2 linked regions of the Zea mays genome follow. Each later gene encodes a partner of the first gene's protein in a complex. Links are inferred from orthologs where the notes say so. Each region holds a gene or a part of one and is shown on either strand. Other genes may lie near its edges. The genes, in order: Protein TIC 55, chloroplastic-like; Protein TIC 20-v, chloroplastic.

Region 1 (8,692 bases):
ATTTTCCTCACAGCCAGATTCTCCCCACAACCAGATTTTCAGAAAAGCTGGTCAGAAAAAAGCTGAACCAAACAGGCCCGATATTTGTCATGTCATTCAAACCGCAAAGTTTAAGTTTTTGTTTTTTTTCATTATCTAGGTCCTGTTTAAAATCAACTCATTTTTTACGAAATCATTTTTTTAGCTAGAAAAGACTAGTTTTTTTGTTTTCAAAAACCATGAATCCAATTTTTATAAACTGGGACATAAACTGATATGTTTAAAACTATCTCGGTTTCCATAAACCAATTTCTTAAAAGGTGGTTCCAAACAGGTCCTTACTTAGGTTTGGTCGTTCGGACATGAGAATTAACAAACAATAAAAGTATATAGTGTACGGAAAATGAGAAAACAAGAAGAAGAGAGAGAGAGATACATGCGTAAAGAAAGAAAATCATACTAAAATAAAATACATATGCTAAAAAACTAGCTAACTAATAATTGATAGGTAATTGTTAATTAATTTAGAACTGATTTAGTGATCAGTGAAATTAAGGGGATCCATGAGCCCCTATAGATTCTTTTTGTTTCTCTGGTCACCAAACCAGCCCCTTAGTGTTTTAGGATACAATATCTAGATGTGCCATTGATGTTCTTGACTAATACTCTCTGTTTAACTCGCTAATGGTAGGACACATGGATATATAAAGATAAGTGGAATAATAAAAGTATTTTTCGCAATACATTAGTTGATTCGATATAGAGAGGGAACACTAGTGCACTACTCGCTTTGTCCAAATTTATAGGTCCCTTTGGCTTTTCTTTGCTTATTTTATTGGTCGTTTGGCTTTTTACGATACATATATTTCTATTTTGTAGCTCAGTATATCGTATATCTAGGTATATAACAACAACTATGTACCTAGTGAGTTGTAGACGTCGTACGACACCACAGATAAAAATTATGGGCAGAGCGAGGGGCGTAGGGTAGAGCCACACCGATTTTAGGTGCATCCTGATTAGTAGCACATTGACATTGTATAAAGGTTCAGGTCGCAAGATACGTAATGTGAACGCTCTCTTTAACTTTAGTAGCTCAATGAACATAGAGGTGAATAAGATTACAAAATTAGATATCAAATAAGTCTCATAACCTCTTAACTCTTCTCATTGGTTTTGGTGAGAATTCTAGGCTAATGGTCTCTAGTTTACCTCTATGTCTCTATGCGTGCCCTCTAGCACCTTTGAATGAGTCATAGCTGTTCTAACTGAATTGAACCCGAATGAATCAACCGGATCATTCCATCTCCCTTCCATGTTTCTATACTCCTCCATTTATATGCCTACTGGGTTATGACCTAGTTCAATACAGGTCAACAACAATTATCTCATCGTAGTCATGGAGTACTAAATGGTTGCATGCCTTGATCGTGCCACGATGCTGAGGATGTCATATTGCGGTTATAGATAAGTCGTATCATAGAGGTAGTTATGACTTGTCATAGCGATGGGTATCAGAGTCCATGTTGTTGGGTATGATGTAGTTGGTAACAGATGTAGCAGTCTATATTTTTTAATGCTTGCTGGTACACTAACATATGGAGACATGTCTACAAGAATGATGGCATATATCAAATAGTGGTCTTAAGTATGCCCGATGTCTACGTCATGTACCGAATAGTGGTCTTGAGTATGTCTAGTGTCTATCTCGTGGGAATAGTGCGCATACTTTACTACAATATCAACCAACACATTTAATGTGGTGAACGAGATACCTTTCCAAACCATTAGTAACACAAGTCGTTTGGAGTAGACTTTAACATAGTACGAGTGTTATACCTTTGAGGACTTCCCTACTCTAAGGATAGGCTGCCATATTCTTTGTTCTGTAGGTGCTCCCATACAACTGAGTCGGAGCATTATTTTTCATATGAAGGACCCTAGGACCTGGCTATTAGTCATAACTCTAAGGTCGAGGTCATGAAATATTTAGGGAGGCCTCTATGGGGCCTAGGTGAGCGAGAGAACTCTAGAAGCTTGGGAATGCCTCAAAGTATAGAAAGATCCTGAGGCCTTAGGGGCCCTGGTCATGCCAATTATGATGGACGGGAGTGGCTAGGACAACCTCACGGGTTCAGGGGCTCAAGATGAGGTCCATTAGGGTGGGTCTCTAGGGGCACATGTCTGGAGTTAGTCAGGCTCTCGATTACTTTTATCGAGATCCTTAGAAGGCATCTTCATCTAGAGTGTGACCTTCCCCATGCGCTAATAGAGGTCCCCAAGTCAACCATAGACCTATGAGGCTTGCTGGTGGGCCCAAATTTCTCGTAATACACTTGAGAAAAGAAGACTTATTATCTGTTAGAGAACTACTACATAGTTCAATGATGGCAAGCACCCAATACCTGGTGCACTAAGTGTCGTCATGGTACAACATTACAGTACCATAAGCAACCAAAAGACACGAAGAAAGTTTATGGACAGAGCAAGGAGCATAATCTATAGGCGCATTGATCCTAGGTGTAGCACATAGTCATTTTATAAAGGGCTAGGCCACAAGATGATACCATATGTCCTCTTTAAGTACGATGGTTTGACGAACACATAGGTGAAGAAGAATACAAGCTCAGATATCAACTAAGCGTCATGATCTTCTAGCTCTCCCTTACTATTCGGTTCTCATGAGTTCTAGGCTAGTGGTCCCTAGTTCACCTCTATGTATGACCTCCAACAACGTGCTCTAATTTTTGCCATCTAAAAGAATATTCTCTATCCTTTAGAACACACTCTAGAAAATTTCATCCTCTATATCTTTATCATCTCCAACAACATCCTCTAAATTTCATTCTCTGCAACATTGTCTTTCTTCTCCGACACCCCACCTCCACCGTTGTACTCCATCCATCCACCCAGTATCTCCCATGCCCCTAGATGCGGGTTGAGAAGCACTCCACACGGAGCGCCGTGTCCAGGATCACCTATCTCATCTCCGGCAACACAGAGGATGGACTTGTGCTGCGCCGAGGTGGGGGAGAAGCATAGCAACAAACAAGGGAGGAGTGCGAAGAGAGAAAGATCGAGTTACAGGTCCTATGCGCCTACGTCATCCAAGGTCGTGTTTGTTGCACATCCGGTCGCCGTGCGCCTCGTCGTCCTCTTCTACCGTGGATGCAAGTTGGGAGGTGCTGGCTGATGTGCTACTTTGTCGCGGCGTGCACAGCCGACCTGTAGTCTCTCTACACAAGACGGTGCACATAGCCGACACAACGGAACACTCTACATCTGTTGTGCGCGTTAGTGGTCCGCTACTTTAGCGGGTCCTTTAGCGGACCTTGAGAACGAAAAGCAGATTGCGCACGTTAAATTTAGCGTACAGGAGCATTTACAGAGTCTTGCTCTCGAGAGTCTTGTACGTTTAAATTGACAAGCTAATTTTACGCAAATAAATAACAATTTGGATAGATCCAAACGAGATATTATTATAGCTGACCAGTGTAAGCTAGTTCATGCACACGCAAAAAAATCTCGCGATATACTAGTCCGTCAATCGGTCACACTTGGACGAGAGTGACACACGAGAGATCACGGCAAGTGTGGGAGTCTGGAACCGGGACGCTATAGTAGTAGACTAGGTGGCAGAAAGCTGGAGCCGCCATCTGCCGTGTGCGTTGCACACTTGCGCTCGTAGTCGTAGGTGACTCGTAAGGTTTTTATCCGGTGAGGCCGCAGAGATCGAGCGCTCTCGGCCAACCAAACGTCGTGGGACCGAACATGACAACGCCCTCTACCGCACCAGCGCCACTGGCATCTCTCCTCCGCGTCTCCGCTGCCGCTGTTCCAGTGGCTCGACGACGTCCTAAGAGCCCCGCGGCTGCGGCGGCGGCACGGTGGGAGGGAGGTGGGGGCAGAAGGAGGTGCCGGGCGGCGGTGGTGGAGGAAGCCGGGGTGCTGCTGCCCAAGGAGGGGGAGGGGGAGGGGGAGGGGGAGGAGGCCCCGGACGCGGCGGCGGGGCGCTACGACTGGAGGGAGGAGTGGTACCCGCTGTACCTGGCCAAGGAGGTGCCCGACGACGCGGCGCTCCCGCTCACCGTCTTCGACCGCCAGCTCGTGCTCTGGCGCGACGCCCACGGCGTGCTCCGCTGCCACGAGGACCGGTGCCCTCACAGGTGAGATCCTCCGGCCGGTCCACTCTTGTGTGCGTGCAACGATTGGTTTGGTCGAGAACCAGCAGCTGAAACACGATTAATTGCTCCCAAAATGCTTACCGATCGATCAGGTTAGCGAAGCTATCGGAAGGGCAGATCGTGGACGGCAAGCTGGAGTGCCTCTACCATGGCTGGCAGTTCGACGGCGACGGCAAGTGCGTCAAGATACCACAGGTCTCTCTCTCTCCCACCTTTCTTACTGACGCCCCTACCCTACGCGGCGAGAGCATGGATGGGTGATGTGATGGGTCCGTGCCTGCACTGCAGCTGCCCGAGGGCGCCAAGATCCCGCGCAGCGCGTGCGCGCGCAACTACGAGGTGCGCGACTCGCAGGGCGTGGTGTGGGTGTGGATGTCGGACGCCAACCCTCCCGACGAAGGGAAGCTGCCGTGGTTCGAGCCGTACGCGCGGGCGGGGTTCACGGACCTGTCGACGGTGCACGAGCTCCCCTACGACCACTCCATCCTGCTGGAGAACCTCATGGACCCCGCGCACGTGCCCATCTCCCACGACCGCACCGACTGGACGGCCAAGCGCGAGGACGCGCAGCCGCTCTTCTTCGACGTCACCGAGCGCACGCCCCGCGGCTTCGCGGGCTACTGGGGCCGCACCGGCACGCCGCACCTCCGCAACCTTCTGCGCTTCGAGGCCCCCTGCGTGCTCACCAACACGCTAGAGTTCGCCGACAAGGACGGCAGGGAGCAGTGCTTCTCCGCGCACTTCCTCTGCCGCCCCGCCGGGCAGGGCAAGTCCATGCTCCTCGTGCGCTTCGGCTCCACCCTCAGGTCGCCGCTCGCCAAGGTGCTCCCGTCCTGGTACTTCCACCAGAACGCGTGCAAGGTGTTCGAGCAGGACATGGGGTTCCTGTCGTCGCAGAACGAGGTGCTGCTCCGGGAGAAGCTGCCCACCAGGGAGCTCTACCTCAACCTCCGCTCCTCCGACACCTGGGTCGCCGAGTACAGGAAGTGGATGGACAGGGCGGGCCACGGCATGCCCTACTACTTCGGCCACAGCACCCTGTCGCCGCCGCCCGTGCCGGCCGTCGTGGAGCAGGCGCCCGCAGGGGCCGTCGCGGGGATCTCGGCCTCGTTCCCGGCCAAGGGCGGCGTCGGCATGGTGCACGCGCCCAACCCGACCAACAGGTACTTCCGCCACGTCGTGCACTGCAAGGGTTGCAGGGCAACCGTCAAAAAGTACACCTCGTTGAAGACCGTGTTCGCGGCCCTCGCGGCGGCGGCCCTATCGGCCGCCATCCTGGCGGCGACGAGACAGTGGAAGGCCGTCTTGGTGGCGGCGTCGGCCGTGCTAGCCGCCGCATCCTATGCGTGTGACGCGGTGCTTTCTTTGATCACCACCAACTTCATCAGGACACACAGGAGACTGTAATTAATGTGGTACTGGCCACTGTATATTTAGGTAATGGCCGGCGGGGAACGTTCTGTACATTTGTATCACCGTAGCTGCTGGCCTGCGGCTGTTGTATTTTGTATATTTGCAGTAACGTTTTGCATGTCAGCAGCAACTGATTAGGTTGGTTACCTTACCGGTTAGTTTTTTTACTACTGCAGCACAAACTCAGAATTAGAAGATAATCAACATAGCAAAAGATTTAAGTCCGCAGACACAGCCACCAAGCAATCGATACACAACACGCTCGCACGAAGCATTCTTAAAATTCTCCAGTATATACACAATACAAGCAGCACACGTTCACTGTTAAGATAGTGGCACAATGCCTAAAGTCACATGTTATTAAGTAGACAAACTTGATAACAGTGGGCAAACACCGACTCGGAGCATGTTTTAAAGGCAACATACTTGATAGGATATATTAGCTACCACAGTAGACACGTTTGATGCTCCAGGCTTACCGTGGTTGAACTTAGAATTCCCTGTCGGGAAAGAGGACGGGTGCAACAAGCGACCATATGAACAGACCTGCCGTCGCCCACTGGGTTGCAATCCTGACCCAGACAGATGGCCACCCAACATCCACAAGCTTTCCGCTCTCACCAACCGAAGTTGACCAGCCAGTCAAGAGCATTGCCGAGTACATGCTGGCCAGGGAGAAGATGAGGTGAAAGAAAGAGTAGGAGTATGTCACCGGCCTCGGCACATCCTTCTTATCTTCTTGTTCGTCTGCCTTGCTGAAGGGAAGCAATGGCTTGTCGGTCCCTGGAAGGTAAAAGGGAAAAAGGTATCATAATTAACGATGCAAACCCAATATTTGCAAAACTAGCTCATTAGCCACAGAACGCAATCTAACCACGTGGTGAGTCTGGTGGCGAGAGCACAGTTGCAGAGGAGCCAGCGCGGACAGCAGAATAGACCACAGAGAGGACCGTGGTAAGGAGTCCCAATGTAAGGCTACCAGTTGACACAGCTTTTGAGTGATTGTGAAGCCCATTGCATTCGTAATCCCTTGGCTCACTGGAGAGTCCACTGTAGCACAGATATGTACAGTACATACCAATAACTGATGCAGGCAACAAGCTTCCATTGATCTGAAAATCAGAAACTTCAAAGTTCAGCATTATTTAGCACAAAAAAGATAGTTACATTCAAGGGAAATGTATAGACATAGTTTTTGGAAAGCATGGTCATACGATGGCCAAGATGGAATCTAAAACAATCAAACCAACCCAATAATCTAGAGTTGCAAGTATAATACTGCCCCAAACCCCAAACCCATCCAGTATAACTTATCAAGCAACGGTTTCTGGTCAAATCAAGTAATATAAACAAATGCAAAATCAGTAAAACGGAGAAAAACAGGCTACATGATGGTACCTTTGGGTGCAGGGCAACAATAGCAAACGCAAAAACAAGAATCAACGTGAAGACAATGAAAAACAGGTTGAGTCCGCAGTCATGTCCAGATGGAGTGAACCAGTGAAATAGGAGACCCGAGAAACAGAACGTGGCAATGTAACAGACAACCGAGACAACCAACAGAGCCATGTACCTGCAGCGACAAAAGAGCATAAATAATACAAAAAAAAACACCAATGGGAGCCCAAGCAAGTATAGGAAATAGCATCAGCAAGCAACCAACCAGAACTGCTCATCCTTGGCGACCCAGTTCTCATTCCATCCGTGCACAAAATCCAACAGCAGAACAACCTGAACGAGAAGGAACAGCCCAGAGCCAAACTTGGATATAGATTCTGCAGAAGTAGAATTGTAGTAAGAATTCCAAACACAGCTGACACACAAATGACGGGATACATAACAAAGTACATGAATGACCAACAACAGCAAAGCAGTAACTAATTACTAAATGTTCAGGGAACTCGACAAATGTAGTAAGTCTACAAGTAAAAACAGCTGACTACCAATTGGGTTTATCCATTGCACACGCCCAGTAAGTCTACAAGTCGAGAATTGCATAAATTCTGAATCAGAAATCTCCTTAATTTTCTTATGAGCCTCACGGAACTCAAAAAAAACTTCATGAAAGGGGTTGTTTGTTTCTCAAAAAAGATTAGTGCCATCATGATATGTCAAGTATCTATCAACTATGCGTTCAAATAAAAAGGTTTCTATTTGTGATCGCAATATGAATCAAATGGTCTGACAAATAGAAGGAAAGGGAGTTAGCTCACCATAGAAGCTGACGACCCCGTTGGGCACGAAGAACATGAGGAAGACGATGATGACCCAGCAGAAGATCTTGGCCATCCATCCGCCGTGGTGGATCTTGTCACGGGGGTCCTTCTGGTCCTTTATCCCGGCCATGATGACGGCGAGGATGGTGAAGAAGAGGAAGTTGCCGAGGCTGACCCTGAGCACCGCGTCGGTCTCGAACCACTCGCGGTCGGGGGTCTTGTGGAAGTGGTTAATCCCTGCGGAAACAGAGAGAGAGGTCTCGATGAATGTTTCGATGAACTGAACCGACGAATCGAACCGAGGGAAAGTAGGGGGGATTCGGGTCAGCGCCGCGCACATGGGATCGACTGGAGGAGGGGCGCGGCGACCTCGCGGAGCGCCCAGGATGCGAAGAGGGAGAGCGCGAAGAGGCCGCAGTAGGCGATGCGGGCGGAGCGGCGGCCGATGCTGCCGACCGCCGTCCGGCACGCCTCGCACGCGCACGCCGCGCAGCACGACGCCAGGCACGATGCCGCCCACATGGTGGCTGGTGCCCCGGCTCCGCCGATCAGATGGAGTCGACTCGCTAGGAGGATCGAATCCGATGGACGGCGCCGCCGCGGATATGGGGATTTCTAGTAGGGTGGGAGAATTTGGGGAACGCGTGTTGGGAGGGGACGGAGAAAGAGAAGATGGGGAAAGCCGGAAGGAGGGGGTGGAGGTGGATTTGCACGCACGAGACGGGCGGACGGAAAGGGGCGGACGGCGTGCCGGTGGAGTTGGTTGGGTTGGACCGGATAAGGAGACCGAGTCCGCTTGCAGTATCCCACGGCAACATCGACCAGGAAAACCAAATACGAGTGCGGTTTAATGTGTCTGTGAGTTGCGTAGGCAGAAGCCTGTTGCGTGTTGCGTCGACA
Region 2 (8,085 bases), about 9.1 Mb from region 1:
TTCCCCTGCCCGCGTGCCAAAATGCAGCTCTTCCAAGGTACGTACTATACTGGAATAGATGTTTTCGTTCCTTCGCCTCTCTGTCGCCGGCGCTAAGCTGGCGGCCTCCACCTCCGTCCACCCTCTCTTCCGCTGGATTTGTGACGTGCCCGCGATCCGCAGGAGAGAAGCCGGCCCACGATTTCCTCTCGCTCCACACCGGAGGAGGCCCGTCGTCGCCCGTGCAGCAGCAGCATCCCGCCCAAGGTATGCGAGCCCTCTCGGTTCATAATTCGGCCGGAAATGCGACCTGCGTCCCCCCCACTCGGAGAACCTAGGCTAGCTACTAGGTAGGGCCTCGCGACTTACATAGTACAGCGTAACAACCCAGGCCATTTGGTTGCGGTCGCAGGATACGAATCGGGGGCGCACAGTTCGCTGAAGCCCATGAAACTGGACAGGCGGCGGCGCGGCGGCGGCGGCGGCGGAGCGATCGACATGGCACCGTCGTCGGGCTTGGAGTCGGACTCCGAGGAGCACGTCTTGCCGGGCGGCGTCGGGACGTTCAGCATCAGGCAGGTGGCATCTGCGACTCGATCGAGGGGAGAAGCCGCCGGCCATGGCGTCGTCAGCGGCGCCTTTCCACCTGCCGTTCATGTGTCCAGAACGGAGGAGGGCCCGCCGCATGGAGCAGAATCGGGAGCCAGGGCTCACAGCGGCCCGCTCGCGATGTGGCAAGATTCTGGCGTCGACCAAAGATCCAGAGGTGAAAATTTATATATACATACGCTGTCGTTTTTTCTTCTCTCGGGTCGGTTCCAGAATTCAGGACCCTCTTTTATTACACTGCCCTGCTGCATGTTCAGGCGCGAGAGGAGGGGAGGGGAGAAGCAGCGGCAGCAGCGCCGATCAGGGGCCCAGCACACCGAGATCCAAGCATTCCGCTACCGAGCAGCGGAGACGGACAAAGATAAACGACAGGCAATGCTCGTTGAGTCCAATTTCAATTTTCATCAATTGCATCTAGCAGATCAGAAACTAAAAAAAAAGATTTACCCAGAACGTAGGGAAGCTGAGTGAGCCAGCTGTCTGCTCAACATGTTGGAATTACATCACGGCATGAACTTGTCATCAACACGCAAATCTTGAATTCTACTTCTGTTGCCGAACAGCAGCAGATAGATACATGAGATGCGATATATATGGGAGATGCATTTTAACGAGTATGTGTGTATATGCCTCTGGTTTAGGTTGGAAATACTTCGGGAACTCCTGCCGCACGGTGACCAGAAGAGGGACAAGGCATCTTTCCTTCTTGAGGTAAATAGATCGCCAACCTTTCTACAACAGCCAGCCGCCGGTAACCAGAGATCTCATAATGCTGCACTTAGAGCATCTCCAACAAGGTCTAAAATAAAGCTCTAAAAGTTAAAAATATAATCATATTTAAAATGTTTAGGACCTCAATAAAACATTTTACTCCAACAGTTAGGCTTTAAATAATGCTATTTAGAAAATAAATCACGTTATTAGAAAATAAATAGTTGTAGATTAAGAGGAAAGAAGGTTAGGGTTCTAACATATGGGGTACTATATTTAGGGTCCGAGAGACCGAACTCTATAATCGTTTGATGATTTTTTATAAAATAGGACTAAATGTTTTATGATTTTTTTTTTGCGAAAGAGCCTCTAGCTGAGTTGGTTAGGTGGTCTGAGTAGCACTCCTCAGGTCCTAGGTTCGACTCCCCGTGGGAGCGAATTTTAGGCTGTGGTTAAAAAAATCCACTCGTCTGTCCCACGACAAAGCACAGGTCTAAGGCTCAGCCCCGGTCGTGGTCGTTCTCACATGGGCTTCGATGCCGCAGGTCAAGTTTTTTTTGTTTTATGATTTTTTGAGCCCTATATTTTAAAATACAATTTCTTATTTAGGGCTCCTCTTGAGATGCTCTTATAACATTGAAATGCCCCCTTTGGTCCCAGTTTTGGGTGCAATATCCTCCATGTTGCTTGTTCAATGATACGCAAACACATAACACGAACCAGAACGAAAATATAATACTAAAAAATATTTCAATGTAACATGATCTCAGCAACTGGGGAGACCGGAATCCTGATCAGCACGTTACAGCAAGTATTTTAGCATGTGGAACATTTTGCTCGCAGGTTATTGAATACATAAGGTTCTTGCAAGAGAAGGTCCAAAAGTACGAGTCAGCCCAACCAGAAAAGAATCACGAGGACTCCTCCATGCCATGGGTACTAACATAGCCACGTTATCACGTTCATCGCAGTACTGCACAATAATCATGCACATATTTTACTATATAACACAAAAAAAAGGGCTGCATTTGGATTTTAACTCACTTGTCCACTATTTTTTCCCCTTGCTAGGCAAAAGTTTACTACAGATCATGCTGGAAAAACACAGAGGTAATTCCACACGCGCGTGCACACACACATACCAAAGAAAAAAGGAATGCCACATGGAAGCATGGAGCCCATGATATATCAATGATAACAAATTTCTTTGTTCTTTTTCATGGTCTCGCAGAATATCATCCAAGGAGGAGGATTAGCACCTTCCACGAAAGATGAGAACAAAGAACAGTATGATTCCAAGCAAACTACGGTGGCATCGTCTGCTCTCTTTGACACACAAAGTGCTAGAGAAACTAGTGCAAACGATATTTCCTCCCAAAAGGCAACAAGCAAAGCAAAATGCAGGGCAGGTAAGTTCCCAATTTCCTTCTTTCGTTGCATTACCACCTTTCAATTGCTAAGATCATGGCAAGAAATTGATTTACTAAGGCTAATAGCTTTAAAATGCAGACAACAGCGTACCTGGCAAACAGCCACCATGGTTGAGCATGTCAACCTCTGATGCAGACAACAAAACACTGAGCAAGAACGAGAAACAAACTCTCCAAGAGGATACTCAAAGTCTTTCTGATGCTTACTCTCAAGGGTTTGTTCCGAAACTACTGTTGTTTATGATGGTAATTTTGCTATATCTGCAACTAACAAGAGAAAACATTATTTACATCAGGCTTCTAAATAGATTGACACAAGCTCTAAAAAGGTCGGGAGTAGACCCATCTCAAGCTAGTATATCTGTAGAGATCAGTATGGACAGAAGAGCAACAGAACCTAATAATATACATGACAATTTGAAGGTAATAACAGCACATGAAAGTATATCAGCACGTTAATGCTTGCAAAGTTGCTAGACTTATGTCATGGCTTATTCACAGAATCAGCCATTTCTTTACCACTTCTTTTTAACCTTACCTGACAGGATCATGAATGTGAAGATATTATACATGTGACCAAGAAGCTTCGGGGCGAGAGAAGCAAGATCTCCAGCTCAAACTGAAATTCAAACTGTGGCGACAAGCCGACAACAGACCAGGACTTTGTCGACGAAATTGACAATTGATGGAATGCTCTTATTTATATTGAAATCACAATTACTGACCTAAGCCTCCATTCAGGTACAAAGGAAGCTGCTCAGGGGAGGGTAGTCATAAAGCTCCCCAATTCAGACATTCCTCCTCATTTGTAAATGCAATTCAGATTGTAAAACAGTGTACATGTACTGCTCTCTCAAAATTTGTCAATTCAACAAATATGGTAGTATTGCAACGTTTTTGTATCAACCTTCCACAGTACATGCATTCAATCGGCAACTAGACCTATATAAACAGCAAGGCAATTGTAAATTATACTAAGCTTGTGATTTGCTGCAAGCGCCAACGAACCATTGGGATGTTTTCTGCATATCATCAGATTCCCTTTCCATCAACATGGTCCGCAGGAAACGAATTGTAGTCACATCACCTGGCGCTCCGCTGCATCTGCGACAATGGGCAGACGTGGTGTCTTCCCGAGCAGGCAGGCGCCACCGCCGTACACCAAGGAGACGAGCAGGAAGAGGAAGACCGTGCTCTCCATGCTCTGGAAGATCTCGAACCCAACCCCACCGGAGGGCGCGAACGACTGCGCGAGCAGGTCGGGAAAGATGAGCAGCACGTCGAGCACGACGGCCTGCATCGCGTTGAAGCGGACGAAGCGGGAGAACGCCTGCTGGTTCCGCACAACGGCGAAGTAGAGCGTGAGGAAGAGGAGGAAGGGCGTGAGCGGCGATGAGTGGAAGAGCCGAGCCGCGGGGGCCAGCGGGCGGAGCAGCGCGCCGAAGAAGGGGAACTGCGTGAGAAGGAAGCGCCCGTGGTGCGCGCCGTCGAGGAACGGGTATAGGTAGGCGACCGCGGCCACGAGGCGGTCGGGCGCCTCCACGGCCCCGCTGTTGTCGTTTTTGTTGGAGGCGCGCGGCGCGGGGGCCAGGAGCCGACGAGGGGTCGCGTTGTTGGGGGCGGCGAGGAGGACCCGCCGGTGCGGGATGCTGAGGAGGCGGGATGTGCCGTCGCGGTGGAGCAGGCGCGGGGGCGAGAGGAGAAGCGAAACGGCGGATGCCATGTGATCCTCTGCTCGGTGCGGTCGAGGAGTGGAGATTTTTTGGGTGAGTGGCCTTGTGGGGGGCGGCCAAAGCGAGGCGTTTGGGTGAGGGGTTGAGGGCAAGGCAGTGGCGCCGCGCGGCTGCTGGCTGCTTGCCCCCTCCGCGCGGGTGGGAGCCTGGGAGCGGAGATTTTTGTGGAGCTCCGGGGGATGTGGGTAGCCGAGTGGGAGACGAGGAGATTGGTTGGTGGTGCCTGCTTCTGCCTGCCTGCCTGCTTGGTGCAGTGCCAGTGCGGGCCGTGCTGCTGCGGCGTCGCGGGGGAGGAAGGACGGGCGCGTGGGCGACGCGCGGTGAGCCTCACGTGGGCCGCCATGCCGGCCGGCATGCGCTCGCGCCTTGCAGCGTGGCCCGCTGTGGCCCGCCACGGAAAAAATTGGGATTCATCGTTTTGAGAGGATTCGTCTGAATATCATTATAAAACATGTCATCCACGTTATGATATCATTTGATCGTTTAATAAATCGGAAAAGAAATATATATATTATATATATAGCGACATTGAGGGTCAATTTTATAGGGAGACGAACATCAGCGACCAAAGTGAATGCACGAACAACAACAGAGGCAAATCATCCCTCAATGTCTATAATATATTTATTATTTTCATTTTTTAAACAATCAAATGATATTATAGCATATGCGGCATGTTTCATAATAGCAAAGTAGTGATGCCTCTCAAAACGATTTCCACTCCGGGAGAGCTGACCCGGGCGGAATAACCACTCCTACATTTTCCTCATAAAAAAGGACACTCAGTCTATTTGGTTCACGGCTAACTATGTCACAATTTATTTAATATTAATCGTTTGAATTGAAGAACTAAGCTTAGACATAAAAAATAGATAAAACGGTTAACTATGTCATAATTTGTTTAATGTTAATTATTTGAATCGAAGAACTAAGCTTAGACATAAAAAATAGATAAAATATGGTAAGTTGGACAGCAAATCAAACCGCCGTCAAACTTCCACCCTATTTCTTTGCATAACTGCGGCGTCAAAATACTCAGCAAGATACTCACCACCAGGTTACAACGACAGATTGACAGGATCATCGACACTGACCAAATCGGGTTCATTCGAGGCAGATCGATCACAGAGAGCTTCATCTACACTTTTGAACTTGTTCAGACCTGCCACAAAAGGAAAACACCACACCAGTCCTAGTGATCAAATTATACTTTGCCAAGGCTTCGACACCGTGAATTGGGAAGCTCTCTGAAGGACCATGGCAGAGAGAGGCTTCCCTGACCGATGGAGATCCTGGATCGCCGAGATCCTCTCCACCTCAAGCTCTGGAAATCTCCTCCACGGTTGCCTACTTGCCTCGACCCATGGTTCCCATGCAAGAAAGGCCTGAGGCAGAGCGACCCGATCTCACCACTCACCTTACCAGTTCCTGCCAGTGGAAGATGTCCTTCAGGTTCTCATCAAGAAAAACGGGGAAGTCCGCCACCCACTGTCAAATGACAAAACCGGGGGCCGGTAATCCAATATGCAAATATGATACACTCATTGCCACATATGCTTCCCTCTCTAGTGTCACCTAGCTCCGGATGATCCTTGACACTTTTGCCCAAGCAACAGGTCTTTGCATCAACTACGATGAGAGCACCCTTGTTCCCATTCATGTTGACCCACAACATCAAGCCGGTCAATTCACCTCGATCCTGCAGTGCGGTGCCAAGTTGGAAGGCTTCCCCCAAACTTACTTTGGCCTCCCTCTGTCAAGAGCAAACTAGGATAGCATGCAGAAACTCCTCCCGCGTGATCACCACTATGAGAGAGCATCGGGAATGGTAGGACAACTTGCTTCCGCCTTGATGATTAGATGGATAGTGGTCCGATCACAGACAGCTTCCCCTCCCTTGCAAGCCATGCAACGAATATGGAAACCACTGTCAGGCAAGTGCTGCTTGATGGGCTTGGATCAGCACCTCAAACCACGCCTGAGCACAACCTCAAAGACAGGAGCTTGCCACCCTCCAGAACACCCTCCACGACATCTCTCTCACACAACAAAATGATAAAAGACTAAGCCCACTGATTGACATAGAAGGGATCCTAAAAACCGGTATGCTCTACAAGCTGATCAATCAATGACTACCTCCAACTTTGATAATCCAGACTTCGTGTGAAGCTCTTTCTCTCCTAAAGTTTAAGTTCTTTGTGTGGATCCTCATATAAGGAAAGGTTAACCACAAAAAGAACCTTGTCAAGAAAGGGATGATTACCAGCGTCGTGTGTGACCTTGGCTCTGTCAGGCAGATGAAGATTACGACCACATTATCTTCAAGTGTCTGATTGCTTCCTCCTTCTGGCACAACATATATAGGAGTGCACAACATCGACAACCTAACGACGTCCAAGCCATGGGAAGTCATCCCCCTCCCCCCGATCACCAATCACACTAGAATACCTTCATACACCTTTATTGTTGGATGCTCTGGAAAAACCGGCATCCCCTTCCTGTCCTAGCAAGCATGTGCGTGAAGAAGGAGACACAGACATAGGGGATGACATCTGGAACCTATATTAGGGGCAATAATGACAATTTTTTTGAGCTAAGGGTATCCTTCTAGCCAAACATCTCCTCCGCTCCACGTGAAGGTTGCTCCAGCTTAAGTTGTCAAGTGGAGCAGAAATTTGTGGAAAAGCTAGAGCTCATAGCGAAATCTAGATGGTAGAGTTGTCACTACGGATGTCACCCCAGCGACGCGGGGACCTCGATATTCATCACTGCTGACGGTGTCCTTGTTAGCACACCGATCACAGGCGGATTGGAGAAGAGAAAGAGGTAGGCGAGAGAGATAGCTTGGGTTGGGAATGAGACAACAGAGAGCTCCGTTGTATTCAGTTTCTCCGTAATTTCATCCCCCTGCCCAAAGCAGCTATCGTACTTATACTACGACATATGTTCCACGGACCAGTGACTCAGGGACGCAGCCCCACATACCAGAGACTCATTCATCTTTCCTAACATTCCCCTCTTCTTAAAATTCGGCTTGCCCTCAAGCCGATGTGTAGCATTACTTCCACCAGGATCCCAGGAAAATTGCAAGCACTGACCAAAAGTAACAGGAACTTGTGCTGTGTTGTTTGCCGCTGCAGCCTCCTCATCCATGGCATGTGTAACTCGTGCTGTCTCTCTAGTATTCTGCCTTGAGCCCCTGTATGAGTATATCACAAAGCCAGTTGCTGTGCCAACAAAAGAAATGAAGTACATCACATCAACCTTCTCTTGGTAAGCGATTGTACGCATTAGAACAGCCCACATATCAGCAGTCCAGTGAGTCGATCTGAGCTCTTTTTGTTTGAATATGCTTATCTGTATACCATTTATAATTGCTCTAAAAACACCTAGCATTGCCATCACCTCAACTCTGGTGCTTTCGTGGACAAAGTACTCCTTGGTAACCCTGCTGAAGGCATGAAGCATGGAGCCTCCAATGACAAGCAAATCACCTGTTAGAAAGTTGAGTCCTTTTTCTCGACCGAAAGCATGTACATCCGAAAATAAGACCAAAATTAGCCTAGCCACGCAAACTCCCACACCCAATAAATTCCTCAGCCCATACTTTGCCTTCAGGAAGA

Evidence for each region.
Region 2: Protein TIC 55, chloroplastic-like (region 1) and Protein TIC 20-v, chloroplastic share a complex: the UniProt entries of both Arabidopsis thaliana proteins name them as parts of the tic complex. The link is inferred for Zea mays from reciprocal best matches to the Arabidopsis thaliana genes TIC55-II and Tic20-V.

The regions. Positions count from the first base shown.
Region 1 is NC_050100.1:221,688,906-221,697,597, forward strand, and holds Protein TIC 55, chloroplastic-like, read left to right. Parts: upstream 1-3,749; 5' UTR 3,750-3,750; coding exon 3,751-4,145; intron 4,146-4,255; coding exon 4,256-4,358; intron 4,359-4,451; coding exon 4,452-5,570; 3' UTR 5,571-5,693; downstream 5,694-8,692. Other genes in the region: uncharacterized protein LOC100191588 precursor, read right to left, coding at 6,067-6,359, 6,451-6,688, 6,975-7,149, 7,240-7,351, 7,790-8,029, 8,131-8,314. UniProt on the Arabidopsis thaliana protein: Involved in protein precursor import into chloroplasts. Part of the redox regulon consisting of TIC32, TIC 55 and TIC62.
Region 2 is NC_050100.1:212,571,691-212,579,775, reverse strand, and holds Protein TIC 20-v, chloroplastic, read right to left. Parts: upstream 4,583-8,085; 5' UTR 4,453-4,582; coding exon 3,808-4,452; 3' UTR 3,416-3,807; downstream 1-3,415. Other genes in the region: uncharacterized protein LOC100279738, read left to right, coding at 22-37, 163-246, 392-745, 846-960, 1,230-1,299, 2,143-2,235, 2,371-2,409, 2,531-2,708 and 3 more; solute carrier family 35 member F2, read right to left, coding at 5,619-5,624, 5,885-5,950, 6,726-6,808, 6,911-6,965, 7,448-8,085. UniProt on the Arabidopsis thaliana protein: May be involved in protein precursor import into chloroplasts. Not redundant with TIC20-I, TIC20-II or TIC20-IV.